3 linked regions of the Drosophila melanogaster genome follow. The protein of the gene in region 1 interacts with the protein of each later gene in a pairwise test. Each region holds a gene or a part of one and is shown on either strand. Other genes may lie near its edges.

The links.
Region 2: the proteins of Act42A (region 1) and capt interact in a two-hybrid assay, tested with the Drosophila melanogaster proteins (2 studies listed by BioGRID).
Region 3: the proteins of Act42A (region 1) and ac interact in a two-hybrid assay, tested with the Drosophila melanogaster proteins (one study listed by BioGRID).

The regions. Positions count from the first base shown.
Region 1 is NT_033778.4:6,011,878-6,019,023, reverse strand, and holds Act42A (actin 42A), read left to right. Parts: upstream 1-3,334; 5' UTR 3,335-3,447; intron 3,448-3,601; 5' UTR 3,602-3,623; coding exon 3,624-4,754; 3' UTR 4,755-5,114; downstream 5,115-7,146. Other genes in the region: Pngl (PNGase-like), read right to left, coding at 1-606, 669-760, 816-1,191. UniProt on the Drosophila melanogaster protein: Actins are highly conserved proteins that are involved in various types of cell motility and are ubiquitously expressed in all eukaryotic cells.
Region 2 is NT_033779.5:1,151,178-1,161,079, forward strand, and holds capt (capulet), read right to left. Parts: upstream 5,135-9,902; 5' UTR 4,792-5,134; coding exon 4,569-4,791; intron 3,877-4,568; coding exon 3,375-3,876; intron 3,230-3,374; coding exon 3,105-3,229; intron 2,555-3,104; coding exon 2,209-2,554; intron 2,142-2,208; coding exon 1,594-2,141; intron 1,524-1,593; coding exon 1,000-1,523; intron 939-999; coding exon 855-938; 3' UTR 501-854; downstream 1-500. Other genes in the region: Vps29 (vacuolar protein sorting 29), read left to right, coding at 1-234; Tango14 (transport and golgi organization 14), read left to right, coding at 7,799-8,290, 8,579-8,923; CG5080 (uncharacterized protein), read right to left, coding at 9,267-9,902.
Region 3 is NC_004354.4:366,338-372,679, forward strand, and holds ac (achaete), read left to right. Parts: upstream 1-3,693; 5' UTR 3,694-3,756; coding exon 3,757-4,362; 3' UTR 4,363-4,610; downstream 4,611-6,342. UniProt on the Drosophila melanogaster protein: AS-C proteins are involved in the determination of the neuronal precursors in the peripheral nervous system and the central nervous system.

The sequences.
Region 1 (7,146 bases):
ACGTTTCCAGCCATGCTGATACATCAGCGGAGAATCTATAACGTTCTCGGAGGGGTCAACATGGAGCCAACGCATCTGGGCCTCGGAGTACACCTCGGTCCAGACGTGATCAAAATGCGAGTGGACAATACGGGCGTCGTAGTCGAGGGCGCGACAGAGGAATGTGAAGCAATTGGCATATTCTCCGCAACGGCCCTTACGGGAAACTAGGAGCTGGGAAATGTCGTTATAGCGGTAGAACTTGCTCTCCTGGCCGCAGCAAACGGTGACTTCCACCCTTATATCACCTTCCCGTTCAGTGCGGCGCAGCCTGCTCTCTTCACTCCCACACACGCGGCAAGGTATATTGTTTACCCACTGGAAGAACTGCGTGTTGAACCAGTTTACCAGCTCCACAAGCAGCAAGTCGCGAACACATGGCTCCTTCTCCTGGCGCTCACCCGACGCAATTTGATCTTGGATGTCTATCAGTTTCTCGCTTGCCATTTCGGTGAGCTCTTCCACAGGAATCAGAGTGCGGCCAGTAGCCAGCAGCAGGTTATCCTCGTACTGCATGACTGCATCGGAATAAAGCTCTAGCGACTGCAGAAAGTTATTATTGGTGCGCTGAAAACAAGCTTCCACATCAGAATACAGCAGAGGTCTATCTTGTTCGATGGCTGGCTTACCAATACACGGGGGAAGGCGATTCTATGGCGATATTCCACAGAAGGCTTGATGAACAAGGGCGTGGTGCTGGTGGTGCTTTGTTGAGGAGGACCTATTAAAATCCGAGACATGATGATTAGGATGTCAGTCTTGCCCCCAAAGCTTACTTTTTGACACTGTGCCGTTAAGCCAGGCAGTGCGTCTCTCGCTCAGCGCATCTCTGTACTTCTTCACCTGCTGCAGTGACACCTCTGTGGGCAAGGTGTAGGCGTTGGAACTGGGGGCGCGTACGAAGCCTATGGCTTCCAGTAACCTCTCACAGCCGGGCAAGGACAGCAGCTTTTCTTTAATAGCTTTGTTTTCCTGCCGTATGGTGCGGAACATGGAGTTCTCCGGCTGCGCCAAGATGTTCTCCAGCAGCACTAACAGAATGCGGACCGCTTCCAGGTAGGCTTCCTTTAACCCTCGCTCCTGCTGCTGCTGACCAGCAGAACGGGTCTTCGGTTCGATCTGGTGCACGCACTCCAAGTTTATGTCCACCATGTTGATGACCAGCTGCCACTATCAGATTGGTTTCGTCGTTAGTAGGGGTGGCCGGCGGATGACAATCATGCAGACACAAAGGGTTATGGTGTTGGAAAACGCGATTAGTTTAGCGAACTTCAAGCGATAACAAAAGAGGTGTTTTTTAGGTTTTTTTTTGTTGAATGAAGCCAGCCGGATTCCACTAGCGTACATGTTCTTTTCCTGTGGGGATGCACAACAAATTTATGCACGAAAAATAGAGCTTGGATCTCCTTTTTATAGACATTTTAAAAAAGGTAAGAAATCTCTAAATTTCAACAATTGCTTTAAATAGGAAATAAGTTACTTAGAAATATTAAGTTATCACGTGTTGAAATTATAAAAATTACTCAATAATCTTTTGCTTAAAAAAACGGATTAAAAATACACAAAGCATTCAATTACCATTTTTAGTTAGTAGCGATCGAAGAATGTTTTGATTTGGAACTCCCAATATTTATTAGGTCTTGGAAGTATATAAATTATATATTAAATACATAATGTAATAGAAAAATAAAAAAAAATTTTTAGGAATCCACTTAGGACTAAGGGTGTTCTAAAATGGACGGTTCATGTTTCAAATTAAGTTTACATTGTTGTTGCTCAAAGAGAAAGCTTATGAGAGCAAGGATCCTGGAAAATTGATAAAGTAATTATGCACAGCTCTCCGAAAATTCGCCTTACAGTAGGAACAGCTCAAAGGGACTTGAAAATACTGCCAGCTCCAGCACTCGCACCAAGCAAATTAGTGACATGAACCGATGTACAACAACATACCAATGTTAACTTGCTAAATGTGTTACACCATTTACAGATCGTTTTTCATGTGGCAAGATATTTCAATATTTTTTAACGCTATTTGTTATCTTTATGAATAACGCTTGCTACTTCTTAGTCTGAATAATATTCGGCTTATAAAGATTTCAGGGATTCTGTAATGGATACGTTCGAACTTATTTCATTAAATTAGAGATAAACAATTATGTTATTGTAAAAAATATCAATTGAAATCATGCGAAAAAAAAACTTATTCTCAGAGGAGAATGCTAAAGACAATGTATAATGGATATTAGATATCCAATTACTGGATATTCGCTTTATTCAGTTTTAGCAACCAATTCTGAAGCGTACATGTGGAATAAAGATTAAAAAAATTATATTCCTGCAAAATATTTAGATGAATACATTGCATATATTGGAAATCGAAAACAAGTTCATTTTAAAATTGTGGGCTTGCCAGTTTTTTGTGGCTTGTGGACGTTAGAGTGAAAGTGGCGTAGTTATACAATAAAACAAACTTGCCCGAAGTAGGCGTCACTAGAATTTGCATGATTAGTTTTAACATCCTACCAATATAGTTCCAGAGACTTTGATGTCTATGCTAACATTAGTACATCGCCAGGTCGCCTCGGCTAGAGATGTTGATCAAGAGCGAATTCCCTATTGGGAATGTTGTTTGTATCTGTTTCTGTCCAACATTAGAAAATATTCTCAGCTGCAAGGCACATACGTACGCAAGGTACATACGCAAATTATAAAAATAACCTAAGTATTTTATATATATATATTTGTTAAAATCCAACTAAATTCATGTCCTTTTAATATAAAAGTTATTTAAGGCTGATTTCATGTCACACAACACTTTTTGAAATATGTTCTGAAATTGCAACTTCCTGGAAAACTCTACATAGCTTAATGCAAAAGCTTTCACAGCTAGTTAATGAAATTAAAAACAAAAGGTTGAGATACCGGGCCACTTGGCAAAACGCTCTGTAAACGGTGTAATACATTCTGAAAGTTAGCGTCGAAATGATAGTGCTATACATCGGTTCATAACATGGATTTCCCTGTGGTGCAGGTACAGCATTTGGCGGTATTTTCAAAACCCTTTTGGTCGAATTTTGAGAACACTGCATAATTTTTAAATGCATTTTCAAGGATTCTTAGATCATTTCTAATTTGTTGATAACACGTCAGTATACCAATGAATAAAAAATTTTAAAAAAAGTCCGCTCTCCAGTCTTCACCGTTTCCAACTTATCGCACATTTATTGTTGGTGGAGTCACTTCGGAAGTAAAAAAGACCATAATTTTATGCGTATATGGTCACACTACTTTTCAACCACTTTAACTCGAAAAAGTAGGCGTCGGTCAATTCAATCTTAAAGCGTCTGTCATTGTGCTAAGTGTGTGCAGCGGATAACTAGAAACTACTCCTACATATTTCCATAAAAGGTAAGACTCCTGCCCAACACTTTTTTTTGTCTGTGCGGTCATTATTATTCCTTTCTGGAAGGGGTCGGTCCCGTCTGCGTTCTTTTTTACGTTAGCCGCTGTCCTGTCTCCTTGTTTTTTTAGTGTACACATCCAGATTTCTTTTCTCTTGCAGATCCAAATAAAATTTCTACAAAATGTGTGACGAAGAGGTTGCAGCTTTAGTGGTCGACAACGGATCCGGCATGTGCAAAGCCGGCTTTGCCGGTGATGACGCACCGCGTGCAGTTTTTCCTTCTATTGTCGGCCGTCCACGTCACCAGGGCGTAATGGTAGGAATGGGACAAAAGGACTCTTATGTCGGCGATGAGGCACAGAGCAAACGTGGTATCCTTACCCTGAAGTACCCCATTGAGCACGGTATCGTGACTAACTGGGACGACATGGAGAAGATCTGGCATCACACTTTCTACAACGAGCTTCGTGTGGCCCCGGAGGAGCACCCCGTCTTGCTTACTGAGGCTCCTTTGAACCCCAAGGCTAATCGCGAGAAGATGACTCAGATTATGTTTGAAACCTTCAACACTCCGGCCATGTATGTTGCCATCCAGGCGGTGCTTTCTCTCTACGCCTCCGGCCGTACCACAGGTATCGTGTTGGACTCCGGCGACGGTGTCTCCCATACTGTGCCCATTTATGAGGGCTACGCCCTGCCGCACGCCATCCTCCGTTTGGATCTAGCCGGTCGCGATTTAACCGACTACCTGATGAAGATTCTTACTGAGCGCGGTTACAGCTTCACCACCACCGCCGAGCGTGAAATTGTGCGCGACATCAAGGAGAAGCTGTGCTACGTGGCCTTGGACTTCGAGCAGGAGATGGCCACGGCCGCTTCAAGCTCGTCCCTGGAGAAGTCGTACGAGTTGCCCGATGGACAGGTCATCACCATCGGAAATGAGCGATTCCGTTGCCCCGAATCGCTGTTCCAGCCGTCGTTCCTCGGCATGGAGGCCTGTGGCATTCACGAGACCACCTACAACTCAATCATGAAGTGTGACGTCGACATCCGTAAGGATCTGTACGCCAACACTGTGCTGTCCGGCGGCACCACCATGTACCCGGGAATCGCTGACCGCATGCAAAAGGAAATCACGGCGTTGGCTCCGTCCACCATGAAGATTAAGATTGTTGCCCCGCCAGAACGCAAGTACTCTGTTTGGATCGGCGGCTCCATCCTGGCTTCGCTGTCTACTTTCCAGCAGATGTGGATCTCGAAGCAAGAGTACGACGAGTCGGGCCCCTCCATTGTTCACCGCAAGTGCTTCTAAGCAGTAGTCGGGCTGGGCGTGGTCGTTCCTCATCGAACACACCCATTGCAGACAAAGGATGGGAGTCAAAAGTATTGGGCATGAGTACATTAATACCGGGAGCAGGCGCACAACACTTCCGCTCCTTCAGAAGAATGCATTCCATTCACTTTTATACACAGTTGTACACGACGCATAAGCAAACCATATTGTGTTCTATTCGAAATTCAAGTTCATATGCACATAAGCATTTATAAAACTGATTCATGTTTGGCATTTACATTACTTCCATGCATTCCTACATATGTATTAAAAGCAAACTTACCATACCACTAAAATACTTGTAACCGCTTCTTAATAATAAAGCGACGAAAAGAACTGAAAATTCCTTTTGTATTATTCTATTATTTTTTCCACCAAAAAAGCTAGCATTTGGCTGGCATGAGTAAGAGGCAATCTGAGACCGTGATATTCCGATGGCTATGTGCTCATTCCACTGGCATGCAGTGGCGGAGGCGTCAGATAAAGCGCTAACCAATAAGGCATGCTTTGCTTTTGTGTTTAAGTCAGATGGGAGCAAGCATCGGTTTGCAGGAAGTGCCTTGATAAGCCAGTTTATGGCCTGCAGTTTCTGTCGAATCGGATATATGTACATTTGAGCATAGGGTGTGATTCAGTTTGGACTCGCTCCGCTTATCACCCGACCCCACCCAGTCTAAGCGGTATTTTTACGTTGATTGATTGCGAGTGAAGCAAGTGAAACGCCAAAAGCAGCTGCATCAGCGTTACCTTATAAGGAAATAGTGGAGGAATACCGCAATCGCACTCGCACTGGCCACTGCAAATCGAGACCAAAACAAAGCCATGTTGACTCACTCACGAATGTTCGGAGTAGTTTTCGTTGTCATCAATTGGCATTGTTTGCCCGATTTTGTTGATAGGTGGGGCCCGGCCCGCCCCATCCGATTATCACTTGGGTGTTGAAACGTAGAGAAATTCATTTGGGGGATCCCTAGCAAATCTGCTGGTGATCTGGACAAGCGCGTTGACCAAATTTAATGAACTGTAGCCAGAAAGTAGATTCGTAAGAAGAGCGCATGCGTCGATCGTCGATGTCCATATATGGAGGCCGTTATAGACTTCAGTCACTGCAACAAATGCCTAACTAACTTTATTGCTGTAAACAATATATTTTGGGTTTCTACGCTGGAAGCTGGCTTTAAATAAATGTATTTTCCAAATCCATCGATAGGTAGATTTGTTCAATACAATTTCAATACTTTAAAAATAGGAATATTTTCACATAACTTTTCGATTTCTGGCAGTTATCAACATTTTATGGCGTGTGTCATACATACTTGGTTAATTTGTATATTTTAGTAGTAAGGTCAGCAAACTAGAACTAATAAAATTATCAGAGCTTAATAAAATAAGGTAAGGAAAGAGAAGTTTGCCAATCCCCGCCTATGGTCTGAGTAAAAAACAAAATGATTTTGAATTGCAAAATAAAATTTTTAATACTTATGCGCATTTTATATTTCTTAAATTTGTGTATGCAAGGACTTGCGTTAAAAATAATGTGACGGGGAAATTTGCTGACTTTGTCTACTATTTTCACTGTTGTTTATAAGAATTTGAGTTTTTTAAATATGTTTCTGAGAAATCAACACTAAAACTGCTATCTTGGAATATTTCAACAAAAACTGAGTGACTTTAAAACAAGTCCTTGCCTTTTTTCAAGCCCTCCATAATAGATAAAAGAATGAGTGAACAAAGTTGAGTTTAATTTTAAAGAATTTTATATTTATAAATTATAAAGAAATATTTTCTTGGTTCTAAATGTACATGTTTTCGTATATGTATGTTTGTTTATGCATATTATGTTAAGGTTACAAATTACATTTAAATTCTAAATAAGTAATTATATGGATTTAGCTATTGGGCACTGCAAAGTATCCAGTAGCTAGCATATATTTAATGATTGGCGTTTGTGTTGCTTTTTCTATTTGTGATAAAGCATATAATGTCGTTGATAATGTTCAGTGAGAATAGAAGTAAGACACGTACGTAATTAATTAACTAAAAGTGAAAAATTTTTGTATATGTGTGTGCTGCAAATATCGTTCTCAGGTTGGCCTATCAACTAAAGAAAAATAGGGAAGTATGTTTTAGCATACTTCAATAATGAGGGTCTCGGCATATGAAGGTGTGACTATACGGTTGTATTTATATTTGTATATAAGTGATCATATATATATATGTGTGTGTATACGCGTAAATATATGCTATATGCGTTATATAAATAATAATACATTTGATATATTAATCGAAATATACGACAAGGATGTCAAAGCGTATAAATCCGACCAAGTGCCAATATGTTTGTCATAATAAACAAGAAAACGAATGTTCC
Region 2 (9,902 bases), on another chromosome or scaffold:
CTGGACGTGGACATCCTGATCACGGGGCACACGTACAAGTTCGAGGCCTACGAGCACGGCAACAAATTCTACATCAATCCGGGATCGGCCACGGGTGCCTTCAACCCACTGGACACCAATGTGGTGCCTTCGTTCGTGCTGATGGACATTCAGAGCACCACGGTGGTCACGTACGTGTACCAACTGATCGGCGACGAGGTCAAAGTGGAGCGCATCGAGTACAAGAAGATCTAGGGTCCTAGTATTAGCCACCAGCCATTCCCCTCCAATCCAACCCTTGACCCCTGCATTCTGAGCTCGGCTTCATTAAAGAAATTGTAAATGTACGTAGCAATAAATCAAGTTCTCATTTTTTTATCTGATAAAAAATGCTAGCACCTTGTTTAAATAGAGAATAAAAGTACGAACGGACGAAAGTGAAGTTTTAGATTTAATGCAATAATAAACGATTACAAAGTAAGGAAAAACACCCCCAGAAATTGTGATACTCCCACAATAATCTGATAAAAAAGTTTAAATTTTATTAAATAGAATATAAAAAGGAGTTACATCTGATGATCGAGTAAAGAGTCTGCTCAAAAGTTCGGATTTCATGCTCAGTTTCTCATTGCAACACACTCTCGATATAAATACATTGGGTTCGGTTTGTGGCCATCGCTTTTCCATCGAAATAAATTATATAAATACTTTCCACGAGCCAGGACAGCAATGTTTGGCAACATCATCAATACGAAATGTTTGATCTAAAAATCTTTGAATTACGAAAACTTTGCACTTAGATTAAATACAATTATGATTGCTGCTGACGACAGTTGGAAAAGCAACGAACAGGATCCCCGAGGAGGAGAACCGCCTTAGCCGAGGCTGTCCACGCACACAGTCTTCAGGGTCTTGCCGGCAATCGTGGTCTTATACTGCTCCGGTAAAGCCAACTCGGTCTGGAAATCACAAAAAAAATAAATAAATGACTGAAGACAAGAGACAAATTTTTGAACTCACATAATCGCCGCTGTCGTCGGGCAACAGGATGTTCATCTCCGAGGACTTGGAGTTGACGATCTCCACGCCCAGCGAGTCCTTGGACAGATACATCTGGCAGCCGTCGGTCTTGTCGATCGATACCGTCGGCACCGAGCCGAGCACCTGCATCTGCACGCTCTGGCAGTTGACGAACTCCACGGAGGCCACCACGGAATCGAACAGCAGGGAGCACTTCTTGCAGGAGTCGAAGACGATGTTGTTCACCTTGCCCTTGACGGTCAGAGTGGATCCCTCACACTTGAACACATACACCACGTTGTTCATCTCGGCGTTCTCCACCAACAGCCCGGTGTTGTTCTTCTGGTACTCGATGATCCACTTCTTTCCGTCGCGCTCGAAAACGGGCGCCTTGGCTTGCGCAGCTGATGGAGCAGCAACGGCCTTGCTGCCGCCCGACTGGGCTGGCGATTTGAACGGAGCCGGTCCAGTGCGTAGAGATGGATTTTTATGGGTCTGCATGTCGCCAGTGACCTTCTTCAAGCCTGCGGGTTTATCAAAAGATACATTTTCTTACTATAGGAGCACTTAACCATTTTTGCAGTTGCTGCTCACCCTTGGTGATGTCGGCACCCTGGTTGATCTGGGCGAAGAGGGCGCTGCGATCATCTCCGGCGCTATCCAGCTTGAGGGCACTCAGATCCAGCATGGGCGGCGGTGGGGGCAGACCACCGGGTGGCGGTGGTGGCGGGGCACCTCCGGCGGGGGCCGCTCCCTTGCCGGACCACACCAAGCCCGTGGTGTGGTACTGCCGGATGTAGGCCTGCAGTTCGGTGAGCGTCTGCACCCAGGCGCGGGCCCACTCCACATGCGTAACATCCTTCTCCTTCCACTCCTTGAGCACGCGGTTCGTGTAGAACTGGCCGGCGTCGTTCATCTCCTTGACATAGGGACCCGGGGTCTTCTCCACGCACACCCAGCCCAAGGCGGGAATGCTTTCGCTGATGGCCGACAGGTGGTTGAAGAAGGGCGAGGAGCGGTGCTTCTCGCGGAAGTCCTGGATGGCGCTGATCTGCGTCGAGGTCGGCTTCAGAAGCTCCGCCTGCTTGGGCTGCGCCGGCTGGGCGATCTGGGTGGCCAGCGTCACGTACTGCAGTTGGGAGCTGTTGCGGAATTGAACGATGGCATTATTACACTTTTACCATAGATGACTCATCCAGACTGACTCACCCAAAGGCGCTCTTCACGAGCTCCGCATGCTGCGCCACATCGCCGCCAATTTTGGCGGAGAGAGTTAGGTATTGGCTCAGCGGACCCGCCACAATGTCCTCGAATCCGGCGACACTCATGTTGCTGCTGGGCGGCGAGGGAGGTGGAGGTGGTGTCTCTGCTTTTTCAAAAACTGGAAGAGCTTCTTCTTCTTCGGCTGGCGGAGGCGGGAGTGTGGGCGTGGGCAGTTCTATCGGCTGTGGCGCTGTTAGAGTCCGTTCCAATCGGTCGACGAGGGTCTCCAGTCGCTCGCAAATGCTCTCCAAGTGGTCGACGGCGGCCGAGGGCTTGGCTTCCGGCTCGTTATCTGAACCAAAATGACGCGGAGGAGAACGGCAAATGTTTAGTTCGTTTTGGCAATTATCTCGAATTATTCAAATAACACTGAGTTTTATAAAGAAAATAACTTGAGTGAGATGATGCTTCAGCGTGATAAACCCCAGTGAATCGTGCACTCACAATACCTGACAAAAAAGGCGATATAAACTAAGGCGTCTCGAGAGGAATACCTCATCACGAGCTTGTGTATGATGATGAACTGGTGCGCTTAATACTTATAAAGTTCAATATGCAAAAAGAGCTAATCCCAACGAGTGAAAGTAATAATCCACATGCAAAAACGGCACAAGACAACGAAAAATCATAAGAGAGAAGAACTAAGTTGAACCTTTAAACGGAAGCACTTGACTTGCGAACTTATTGGCCATCAGGAAGTTACGTGAATCGCTAGACTCTCAAAACTTCTTCACAGCGAAAACGAACACATAAAGAACACAGAAAGTCAAGCATCCGCTTAAATAACTGCTGAGATCGAAAAAAAAAAGCAAAAGAATCGGACTCTATCGAAGCTCGCATACCCCGCACGGCCACGCTATGCTCCACAGCCGCATGGGCGGCCCGCAGGAGCTCCGTGTAGAGACGCTGGCGCTTCAGCTCCAGCTCGTCGCGTCCCACCGGCGTGACCGGGGGCTCGATGCAGCCGCTGGACATGGAACGAGGACAGAGGAGACGATGTACTGGCAATTCAAAGCGGGGCTGGGAATGCAGGGGTCGACCTGTTCTGGTTTCAGCTTAACTATATGGATATTTTGGGCGTGAAACCAAAACAGGATCTTGGGTAAGCATACATGTCGTTCAGGCGCTCGTCGTCGAACCACGAGGGTAATCCGTGGGCAAAGAAGAGTGTTTCCGAGACGACATCCCCCTCGATGTAGGGTGCACACATGCTCTCCCGCTTGGGTGGCGGCAGTGAGTCGGAGAACACCTCGTCGTCGTCCAGCAAGGAGCCCTGATTCTGGCTGGCCAGCAGGAGCAGTGGCAGTGGATCCGGCTCGATGATCTCCGCCCGGTTGCTGATATTCACCTTCTTCTTGATCGACTGATGCGTTGAGTTGTGCCTGGACAGGCAGCTCTTGGTGGGCGGCGGCTGAGGAGGCGGTGTGGTCGGCGTGACCGTCGCCACCACCACCACTTCGTCCGCCTCCTCCGCGTCGCCGCTGGTCATCGAAGCAGGTGGTGCCGTGGATGTGGAAGAGTGCGTTGAGCGGGCCAGTGGCTCCGGTTCTTTGGGTGCTAGTGCTGGATTTGCTGGTGATGATTTGCTAGCCGCTTCAGCCTGAGTTGGTTGGGCTGTGGAAGTGTTGCTTAAGATTACTCTACATGAAGCGACGAATTACCAAGACGATCATCAAGGAAAGCGCCGATACTTAAGTTGATTACTTCACTTCACTCTCTGCTCACCTCGCTTCCTGTCTTCATTATGTTTATTTATCGCATTTAAAAGCATTTACCATGGTCACTGGCAGATTGAGTAGTTAGTTTTTACTGCTCACCTTATTATTATAGAATCTATAGAATCTTGAATTTTCTGTCTAAATTATTGACCTTCATTTTAGTTTCTATATTCGTCACTACTATATACTATACGTTCACTTTGATGGATGAGCACGATCTAAGTGCTCAACAAAAAGTGTGTATGCAATGTCATTAGCTATTCCTCATTAATCAACTGAGAATCGGCGCAATTCCTTGATATTCATATGTATAAAATTCACAGAAATAAACCGAAGAGAAAGCACAGTGAAGACAACTCATAAGTAAATAGAAAAGGACACTCAAGGCAGCTTGAAGTGCCCGGATTGAAATGAAAGGAAAGATCAGAAGTGGTGGTCAGCTGCAGTGGCATTGCAGTGAGTGAGAGCCGGCCGGATAGGGGCCTTCGTTCCGGAGAGCAGACAAAAGCCGAGACAGCTGTTGAGCTCGAAGGCCGGAGAACGCGAATAGATGGGGTGGTGGGTAAATACTTAGCGTTGCGTCAGTACCAGTGTTTGGCTGGGTGCTTGTGGGCACATCCTCGGGATTATGCGCTTCCAAGAGCTCCTTTTCTGGTTTCACAGGCTCTGGCTCCTCCTTCGGAGTTCCTGGCTTGCCGTTCAGCTGGGGTTCCTCCTTTTCGGTGACCTGTCCGCCGTTCTCCTCCTCTGCGTTCCGCTTTTCCTTCTCCTTCTTGCCCGCCTTGGGGTTCGATCGGCAGCAGGAGAACATTTTGCAGGCGTGTGGCTGGGCTTTTCCGGTGCTCAACACTCTAGGTACGAATCAAGCACATTATGTAAGTTCCGTGGCTCGACTGCGGATGCCCGTGAAGCTCAAGCGGCGGTCACAACACTGACGGCACACCAAACCAAATCGAATCAGTAGAAGCAGTAACAGCAGCAGCCATATAAGACACTCAACGGGTTTCCAACGAACGTGGCCACTCCTTGCTCACTGTGTACATATATTCAGTGTATGGCCCAAATTTAGTGGCACATTAATAAGGTCCTCCGAGTTGTCCGCGCCTTCAACTGGGTCAAGTGACTGCCGACCAAGCACAGAACCAAATGGCACACAAATGCGATTACACACGGAGAACAGAACACACCCTAAACGAAGCGCACGCCCACGCACTCGGGGATTCGATTCGATTTCGAACTCGAACTCGAAGGTCTCAACAGGACTCTGTTAGGAGAGCTCCGCGCTGTTAACTGCTGAGTTTCGCCGCCTTGTTGGGCTACTCCGCGCTGCTTTTGACCATTTGGGGCCAGCCACCGACTGGCAATGAAATGTGTTTCATTAATAACCGCTTTTGGCCTGACATGCAGGATTTTGTGCAAGCTCCGGCGATGTCTTGCACTTTTGCAGCAGAGAAAGCTTACGGTCCAGGCGGAAAATGGAAAACTCTCCGAGAGAGTTGCGCAGACACCACTGTGATTTCGTGATACCCTTCTCGCCACGGGTGGCGCGACTTAAGTGAGGGAAAACCACGGCGATCCCATAGTTTTATCAGCCCTGTAAGGCAGGGTTCGCCTATCAATTAGTTGTGACAACACCGAGTTATCTTTACTATTTGGAAAGTTTCCAGGAATGATCGGTAATGAAACTATGATTCCATTTTGAGCATTACCATAACGTTTGTAAGCCATAGAGAGTAGAGAGATGCAATGATCATATCTTAGCCGGCTATAAAAACAGTTTTAAAATGTTCAGCTTTTTGTGAAGTAATCTGCCGCAGAAGAGTATAAAAACGTCGACGTAACTGAAACTCCCATATCGTTTGCTTGCCAGTTTTTGTTTTGGCCTTAGTGCAATGGGTTTATTGCACCGGCAACGTTGTTTTTGTTTTTAAGTAGCTTTAAACAAATGGCTGGCAATTAGAGTGGGAAATGCATCAGTAGCCGTTGGATTGGAGGGAGGGGCTAAGCCGCCGAGGACAAGTAAGCCGAGATTCAACTTTCGCCTGGCGATACTAGTTCTCCTTGCAGTCTTGATGCGTTTTCTGCGGCAGATGCGTTTGTTGCGTGCAGAAAGCAAAGAAGAAATGGGGAAGAAAAACTAGAAACCAAGATTAAATGTCTGCAGCTGAGGAACCGTTATTCCCGCTGCGAGAGTGTGAGTGAGCTCGAATTACCAGGGGTGGGGGGTGTTCGTAATGGTAGAAGAAAAATCGCCCACCTTATAAGGCGAGGTGTTATTTTCTTCCACCGAAATCGAGTGAGTGGTAATATCTGCCGATTTTCAATCGCGATTCGCTGATAAAAGCGTTTTGGCCAACTTTTTGACTCATTCGCGCACGAATACAAGCAAACGTGTTTGCTCTTGCGTAAACTACATACATGCATACATACATATGCATATCAACTATGTGTCTGTGAGTCAGCGAAACAAAAACAAAAAATGGCCACAACAGCTGAGTAGTTACTTTTTTTTATCGGGGGTTAACAATCGCAATGGGAGCTGCTAAGGGTTAATTTGCATACACTTGCTGGCAATGAATTAGTTGTGTCTTTATGCCATGGAATCGGATATGAAATCATCGTTAAAAATACACCATGTAGATTTAATTTTACAAGCAACATGAATCACACAAAAATAGCCATCACACAGCTGTCTCTTGTCTTTTTGGCTCTCTTCGCTGTTGTTGTTGTTGTGTGTGTACAAACACCCACAGCCTGCATCACACACACACGCTCAAATTCGTGACAGCACCACCCACCCCTCACCAATAACCGTTAATTCCGCAGACACTTTCAGCCGGCGAACGGGAGAAGAGAATTTGCGAATAATAGCAAAGCCCCGTTTAAATGAACGTTTTTAGCAACAATCAGGCGTTACTCACCTTCTTTTGCTGCTGATGAATTTGCAAGGATCTGCAGTTGTATTCCAATTAGAACTGACGAGAAGCTGCGTAGCGAACACCGGCGAAATGGCGAAAATAATAACTTGGCGTGGCCTTTGGTGGGACCAGGCGTACATTCGTGGAAATAGTCAAGCGAGTTAACCCTTATGTGGGTGGCAGAATACTAAAAATATATGATACAACAAATTTTAGACTTAAGAAAACGGATGTTTAAATGTATAAAATATGATGGAAGTGCAATAGCCAAGCTTATAAACTAATTCTTAAATTATTTGCAATGCATTTAGGACTTTTCGATATACACGTAAATAAACTATATTTTGATTGAACACGGTACATTTCTACTAGAGTTCACCTTCAGATATTGACGCTATTTCTTGTCCTGTAAATTATTTTGTTAAATCGTTCACATTGTATGTCTAATAAAGATGTTTTCCAATAAAATGTTATTCCCTTTTCACTTAGTCTAACATATTCATTAAATAATCAATGTTTTATTTTTTATTTAGTTATTTTAATTAGTTCTTAATTATAAAACTGCTCTAGATTCTCGATATTTTGCGGAATCCGGCGCATGGTCACACTGACGAACACGTATTTTCATTATTCTTGCGAAGCGCATCGCTTAAAACTTGATTACGCTCGGATAACAAGATGCACCCGCGTCTCAAGTGACTGAACAGGTAGCGAAGTGACCCTGGATGAGCGTGGGTAGGCAGCCGGCACCTCTGGAAAGCCCTAATCCCAGGTCCGCCAGCCGTTTGCAGGTTATGTCCGCTTGTGTACACTGTGACGGGGAACCGAAGAAGCAACAGGAGCGGATTCCTGGCAGAAGAGACAACCGCTGTACGAGATACCGCCCCTGACCTGCGCAACATGATCGAGGTGCTGTGCCTGCTGCTGGGCAGGATCCTGCTGCTCCTGGTCGGCGGCTACGAACTGATGTGGCGGCTCCGAGAGCGACTGAATGCACTGGCCGTCCGGTCATATGACCTTTGGCGCAGCAAAGCGGCACGTGAGGCGCACGAGCGGCGCGTGCTCGCTGACTGCCGCTCCCAGTTGACGAAGACGCCGCAGCATCTGGTCCTGGTTATCTCCCCCGTAGATGCCGGCGTGGATGCGGTGCTCCTCAGCAGGATCTTCGACTTTGCCCTGGACGTGGGCATCAAACACGTCAGCCTGTACGACAGGCGGACGAAAGGCAGGGGATACGTGGACATGGCCGATCTCTGTCGATCCACCAACGCGGACACGGGCAGCTGCTTAAAGTGGCCACCCGTAGCCAGTCCCAGCAAACTGGAGAACCAGCCCAAAAACGGACAAAAGACAAATGGTTATGTGAACGGTTCACATTCCCCTCAACTGCAGGTGAGTGGCGGCGTCTGATAAGCCGTGATTAGTAATGGACTTTAGAACGATGTCGGAAAATGTCTTACAAGTATTACACTTTTTGTTTCAATTGTTAAATAAAAGAAGTAATGAGCTGGAGATTTAATTTAGTTCATCATTCACATGAGATACAAAAAATTCTTCGTGCTGAGAACCAGTTTTACCTTTGTATCCATTAAAACCTATGTATAGCAACGTAATCGATTCCCGGAACTAGTCGTTGCCTTATCAGTTTCTAATTGACTTTTCGGCTTCGGCGTCTTTCAGCTCCATCAAATCAGCGCCTCCGACGGCCATGCCCTGATCGCCGACGTCTGCCGCGAGTTGTACGAAGACAGTAAGACGGAGTTGGTGCAGAGCCTACTTAAGCAGAAGCGCGAAGCGCTGACGGAGCAGATCAGCGACATGCTGAGCAAGCGACTCGGGTTCGAGGCCCCGGAGCCGGAGCTGGGCATCGTGTTCGCCCGGCAGACGTGCACCTACGGCCTGCTTCCCTGGCACGCGCGCTTCACCGAGTTCCACACGCATCCCAGCGGACGCCACTTCGACGTGGAGACGTTCGCCAGCATCCTGTGCAAGTACTCGCGGTGCGAGCAGCGGTGGGGCACGTAGGCACATCGTTCGCGTGGGTAGCGACACCCTTATATTAACTAGTTACCTTAACATTATGTAAATTATCGCCAGGAATTCCTTTTAGTTCGTAAGAGTAAACTGCAAAAGTGTATTGTTCACATGAAAGTGTCTTTTGCTGGAGAGGATCGCGCGTTTCTAATGGCGGTGCAACGCAGCAGCTCGTATCTTGTACATAATATTCGATCTTTATTGAGTGACGTTTTGCTGTGCTTAAGCTTAAGGCGCAACTAGATGAGTATATGTAAGTGGGCAGACTTAAGCGCTATGGTTAAAAGTATTGTATTGCTTTTCGTTCAAGTGTCATCTCCGGCGCTCAGCCGCTCTACTCCCGACCGGGCTCAGCGTGGCGCTTGGACAGGAGATTGACGTCGGTCAGATACGTGTTCTTGTCGATGTTGTGCGGACCGGGACCCGTGGGCATCCGCTCGTGGAGGCCGTGGAAGGAGTTGCGCAGATCCTCGAGGGAGTCGGCCAGGCCCTTCTTGATGCTGGCGAACTCGGTGGACATGAGCGACAGCTTGCCCAGCAGATAGTTGAGGTTCTCGTCCATGTCGATCATGTGTTTCTTGGTCTCCTCCACGCGGCTGCCGAGACCCATCATGGTGATGAGAGTGCTGTTGTTGTAGCCATCGGAAGCGGACTGGATATCTCCGAGCATCAGCCGGCTCTGGCTGATCTCGCCGGCCATGATCTCGATGCGGTGCCACACCTGGTTCAGCTCCGTTTCCAGCAGTCCGCTGATGTTCTTGTTCGCCTCCTGCTGGATGCTCACCACCGCTCCGTCCAGCGACGAGAAGCGCTCCTTCAGCAGTCCGCTCAGCGTGGCCATTTCCTCCGCCAGCAGCTTGCCAACCCGCTGCACCACGTTCAGTGTGCCGAAGTCCACCTTGCGCTGCGTGTCCAGCACGACCTCCGAGTTGGTCATCATGATGTTGTTGAACTTACCGAGCGCTTCGAG
Region 3 (6,342 bases), on another chromosome or scaffold:
TAAGAGATCAGGTGGAAATATTGTAATAGATACCCACATTAAATTTGCAGACATGGGGAAACGCCTCCCTAGTTCTCTCTAACCAATACTTCTAGATAATCCAATTTTGTGTTCACAGCGTGCGACCACTTAAATTGGAACATGAACTCTAACCCTAATTGTCCACGCCTACTTCTAAAAACTAAAACTAAACCATTCTGTAGATAGTACGTAGTAGTCAAAACAAAGAGTTTAACTTTTATATGTATAAACCTGTTTCACGCATGCAAATAATATAAGTTACTGTGTCAGCGACAAAAGGCAACAGGTGAAATTGTCGCCCCAAGTCCATGCTTTTAAATCCCGATCTCTACATCTGTTTTTGTTGCAGCCAAGTCAATGTCAAGTGTTGCTTCGGCTGACTTACTACAAAAGTTAATTGCACTGCACGCACATGCCAAAAGGTAAAAAGAGTCGCGAGCCTCGGCGACAGGCTTCCAAAACCCTGTATATCCACATCACCAGACCTCAGGACCTCAACTTACGACTCTGGCTACGAGGCGCGTGTGTGCAATATCAGGTTTCCGCATCGACTTGCATAGTGATTCGAGGATGTGCGAAAATATGATTTAAATTAAGGGATCATCAGTTTGCAACAGACTATTTGTATACCTTCCTTTTAGAATATATATATATTTTTTATAGAAATATGTAATACTAGTTAAGTCTTCTAAAGGAAATACATTTTTACACGTTAAGATCTTGAGAAGTTCTTTTAATAATAATTATTGTCTGCTATTGAATTTAAATATTTACATTTGGGTTTTAAAAATGTGAATAGTTCAGACAATTGCATTCTGGTTGGATGATACGGCATTGAAATTATTTGTATTTTTTGCCACAGTGCGGAGCAATTGCTACTGTAGTTGTCATTAGTTCTCCGCACTTGCTGTTGTAATTGTGACAGGAGCAACGAGCACGGATTGCTAAAGGGTCGATCTCCAGTTGAAGGTGCACTTGGTTTTCTGTATTCCCGTGGGGAAAGGGGGTTTTGGCATAACTGTCGGCTGGCAGGCTTTCTGCGGTCGTGAGTGCCAGAAGCTGATTTCAGCGCGGCTACCGATAAGCAACCGCTTCCAGGTTTGACAGACGCGTTGATTGGTTTTGTTGGCTGGTGCGCAATATGCGAGACGCTCTTGATTCCATAAGACATGTAAATTACTAAGAGCTCTACAGGAAAACACAATAACTGGTCAACTCTTTTTTTATAATTTGTTTACCTGTTACTCTTAAATTAAAATAATATATATTCGTTTTAAAAATGTAATTTTTCGAAGAAAACATTGTGCCGAAACAGTTACCCAGCATGACTAAGCTCTAAATTCTGTCTTGATAAATGTCTAAAGATAGTTAGAAAGAATAATAAAATATTAATAAATCAATAACTACAAATTATCACATTAAAATGTGCTTTATTAACAATGTATCGGAATAAAAAACGTATTTTCTTTCTCACAGTGTTTCGCTGCTCTCGATGTTCGAGGCCAAAACCGTGGACCATTCATAAATTTTAAGCCAACTCATAAATACGGCAGCAAAGGCTATCAAGGTGTTGGTCTTACAATATCTCGCCGTGATGATGCCAGAAACTTCTTCCTTTCTGATTTAATGCAACGCCAAAACAAATTGTTATATTGGAGCCGCTTGCCTCCAGCAATTAATCAAAGCTCTCGCACTACAATTAATCAAAAATCGCCATCTTTCTTCGTTGAATTTCAAAAGGAGCTTGGCTTTTGCTCCTGGCCATAAATATTATTGCCAGTGGTGATATAAGAAATCGACCAAATAGAATTGGCGGCGTTAAAACGCTCACCTTAGATGTGACATCGTTTCGTTGACATATTCGCGTTGCTCTCATAAATCAGATATTTATATGGAGTGGGAAGTTGGGGGACTCAAAACCAAAACCATGGGCGGCTTTCGTCCTTTCATCGTCCGGAGATCGGTAATCTCTGGATGGCAATTTGATGGCCATGAACAGTTGACAGTTGACTTTTTATTTATTCAGCAGCAACATTTAATTCAATGGCACCTAGGCGTAGGCTCTACAGTTCTAAGCTCCCAATTTTGAAGACCCTAATAAACATGAGTACATACTTTGTACATACTTTTCATTTATCGGCTAGAATACCTGTACGATCAACATTGGTACTGAAATGTACGGAAGCTGTCCTGTAATCGAGGCCTTACTGTGTCGCAAGCATGCCGCTTTAAGAAGTGTGGAATAAATGAAACAACGTCAAGTAATCGGCAGACCGAGTCAATATTAATGACGACTTCATCTTTATTCGGTTGATACGCCATATATTCAGATCTCAGTTCTTCCCCCCTTAAGTTTATCCCGTCACGATTTTTCGGTTTTCTGTCGCAGGGTCTTAGTAACATTTATTGTACTATTTAGTCGTTATCAAGCAGAAAAGCTCAAGAAGAGCACTTGTGGCGCTAAGCGATATTCAAAGCAAAAAATAATAATAAAATTGCAAATTCATAAACCTGGTTGACACTGAATACCTTGTCTCAATGCTTCGCGGCAAATTTATATTACATCAACACGGATTTTGCAAGGTCGACCGGATATGTTTGATTTTATTAGCCTCTGGACATCTGGTATGTCTGTGCTTAGATGCCCTGTGATGTCCTTTTCACATGTAATGCTATGCAATCCCCCGGGGCTACAGCAACGAAGTGTTAAACGAGGCTCAGTGTGAGTTAGTGCCAATACAAATCTATTTCGGCACGGTTTCCTAGCGTGCAACCAGAATTCTGACAATGGTTTTAAGAAATAATGGGGACCTCCTAAATGCTTTCAAAATGCTTTCGGCTGAGAGGAACAACAACTGATACGTTGGGCATAAAGGCCCCGGGGCATTAGAAGTGTTAATAGAAAAGTGCCTCCGGCTGATCAGGTTTCGTTGCAGGACCGAATGGATCGCCGCCTGAGGTGTTGATGAGCTGGCCTTGAAAATTCCTACGACTTTGGATTCGAGCGACAATGGTCTAGTGTTTAAGATAATGTCCGAATGATCCAGGGATCGGAAGGTCATCAGTACATAAAATAAATTAAATTAAATGTATTAACATAAAATTAAAGATTTTTTAAAAGTCTAAAATACCTAGCCTTGTTAATTAAAGATTATTTTTTCGTAAACACTTTTGGTAGTGTATAAATTGTAAATGTCCCCATTTTTATAATTGTAATGACAGTCTATTCCACTAATTTTGTTGTATTTTGTTAGTTATACAAATTGGATGGCCACTTTCAATAGGAGATACAGCTTTTTACTTCGGAGGTGTTTTTACTTGGCTCTGATGTCTGGACCTTGTTGCCTTTTTAAACCGGTTGGCAGCCGGCACGCGACAGGGCCAGGTTTTCGTTTGGGGACGACAGGCAGCTGAAAATGAGCAAAAACACTCAGAAACTCTTCCCACTCGACAACGGGAACACTCAGGTCACCAACAGCTGCGTTTTACAGAGAGAACGAGAGATAATATTACTACCTCTCTATTAAAATCAGAGAAAACACTCATCTCAAGAGACGATCCTTCAGTGATGATGCTGTTGCACCTTTTCCAGGGGCAGGTAGGTAGTCACGCAGGTGGGATCCCTAGGCCCTGATACCTATAAATAGCCTGAACGGAACGGGGAAGGGCATCAGAACAGAGCCAGCGCTGAAGCAAGGAGCATCGTCACACAATAACGTTATACTATCTCTTAAAATGGCTTTGGGCAGCGAAAATCACTCTGTTTTCAACGACGACGAGGAGTCATCTTCGGCCTTTAATGGACCCTCTGTTATCCGGAGAAATGCCCGGGAACGCAACCGCGTAAAGCAGGTCAACAATGGCTTCAGCCAACTACGACAACATATCCCTGCGGCCGTAATAGCCGATTTAAGCAATGGTCGCCGGGGAATTGGTCCCGGCGCCAATAAAAAACTGAGCAAAGTTAGCACACTGAAAATGGCAGTAGAGTACATACGGCGCTTGCAGAAAGTTCTTCATGAAAACGACCAGCAGAAACAGAAACAGTTGCATTTGCAGCAGCAACATTTGCACTTTCAGCAGCAGCAACAGCATCAACACTTATACGCCTGGCACCAAGAGTTGCAGTTGCAATCTCCAACTGGCAGCACAAGTTCCTGCAACAGCATTAGCTCTTATTGCAAGCCAGCAACATCGACGATTCCGGGAGCAACACCTCCTAACAATTTTCATACCAAGTTGGAAGCCAGTTTTGAAGACTACCGTAACAATTCCTGCAGTTCTGGTACTGAAGATGAGGACATCCTCGACTATATATCACTCTGGCAGGACGACCTGTAAAAAAACAGATCAAATCTTCAGCTATTGCTAGTCGCACCCAACCATAACACACATCAAACCATTGATTGGCCAACAAGTATTACCTCAGCCACAAAGTATTTATATTCCCTAGAACTACCTTTTTGCCTTATAAATTAGTATTTAAGGTTTTATATAGTTTCTAAGGATAGTTTCTAATGGAAGACAATTTATATTTAAGTTTTTTTTTATAGCATACATTGAGGACATTAAACTGATATATATAAAATTTTAAATGAGTTTTTATTGTAAACAAAATTAAACGGTAATTAAAGTGAAACAAATTTATGTACAAAAGGAGTAAAATTCAGAAAAGTTTTAATGAACAAATGCTTTATGAATATGGGCGTAGCAATGTTTTGATACAAACTTGATCCTGTCCTGTATACCACAGGACACGCTTCCTTTTACCTGGTACATTCCTTTAAACGATCCTAGTATACGCTTTATTCGGGGTAAGCCCGAAAAAAGTATTCGAAACTGTAACCGTTAAGTATTTACAGATCACTAGCCAATGAAGATAAATTACAATAACATTTTGTAAACACTTTTGATCGAAAACGCCGATTTGCATAAATAAAGTTGGATTGAGTAGGGTGAAAAAGGCAAAATATTTACCTGCTGCATTTTTGCATATGAACCGGTCAAGGTAATAAGATCCTGAGAATTCACAATTCCGGAGAGATCGATCGATCGATCGATGAATGAACTAATTTTGAGTTATTCCCGCAATGCAGCCGAAACAAGCGAAAAAACAACGGTCGGCAATTGTTCAGATCGCCCCCGACAACGTTCAGAAAAATGAAAATAAGATCTGCTCAGGCATTCTGCACCGGAAGCCGCCGCGATGAAGCTGCTGCAAAAAAAACTCACGCAAGATACATATACTCTAAAAACAAAAGAAACATGGTTCATGGGTCTTTTCGGCAAATTCTTCACCATATTAGATCACTACATCACACACCAATCTATTCATTAGCAACAATAAAACACTAATAGAAATTGATAATTTGTATACCTAGTTCTTGTCTATTAATCATAAATATTATACTTTTACATGAACCTGAGTCGTGGAAGGTATACTTTTTAATGAACGTAAGCCGTGGCATATGTATCGAATTATTATTTCCGGCCTTTTCTTGTTTTTGCATTGCACATATATATATTAAAAGAATTGAAAAGCTGAAACCCAAAAACGTAAGCTACACCTAAGTGTCTCGGCTATCAGTTACCCGTTAACATATCCATTATTAATGTAATATTCCTTATATACTTATGCTACATGTACATATGTATATATTTTGTATACATCATTAAGTGCAGGGAGGTAATATATATGATATTTTTATATATATACAGGAAATTCATTTATTAGCGTGGCTTTGGGCCTTCGAACTGATAATTTTAACTTATTTTATGCAATATACACTTAAGAGTCGGAAAAGCTTCCGTCTACCTGTTGCATTATTCTCCACAAATATTGCATACCCTTGAGCCACGGGTATAAAAAGGGTAAAGGCTGTAGGGGCTCTCTTCCCTCCATTGGCGGTCTCAATGGGCGACATACGAACGACACAATGTCTTTGCGACAGCAAACGGTGCAAAATCGAACGCTTTTTGTGTGAAGTTAATAATACGTTTGACATGGCTCCGAAAGGGCGATCGATCCCAGAAATATATGCAGAAATATGTAGCAGATTGCTCCAGATCGTCCCGGGGTCTTTTTAAAAGACCCTTTGTGGTTTTAGCCACGTATATGTACCCTGAATTCAGCTTGAATGGGTATATAGCATATTTTCTGTAATAGGTAACCTTAAAAGGCTGGAAAATAAATTTATTATTATCGTTTTGAGAAAAAAAAAAAAAAAACAGTTTTTATAGTACATTTATAATTGCAAAGAAAAGCGCACATGAGAAAAATATTACATTATTGTATGCAATAGCACTCGTACCACATTTAAA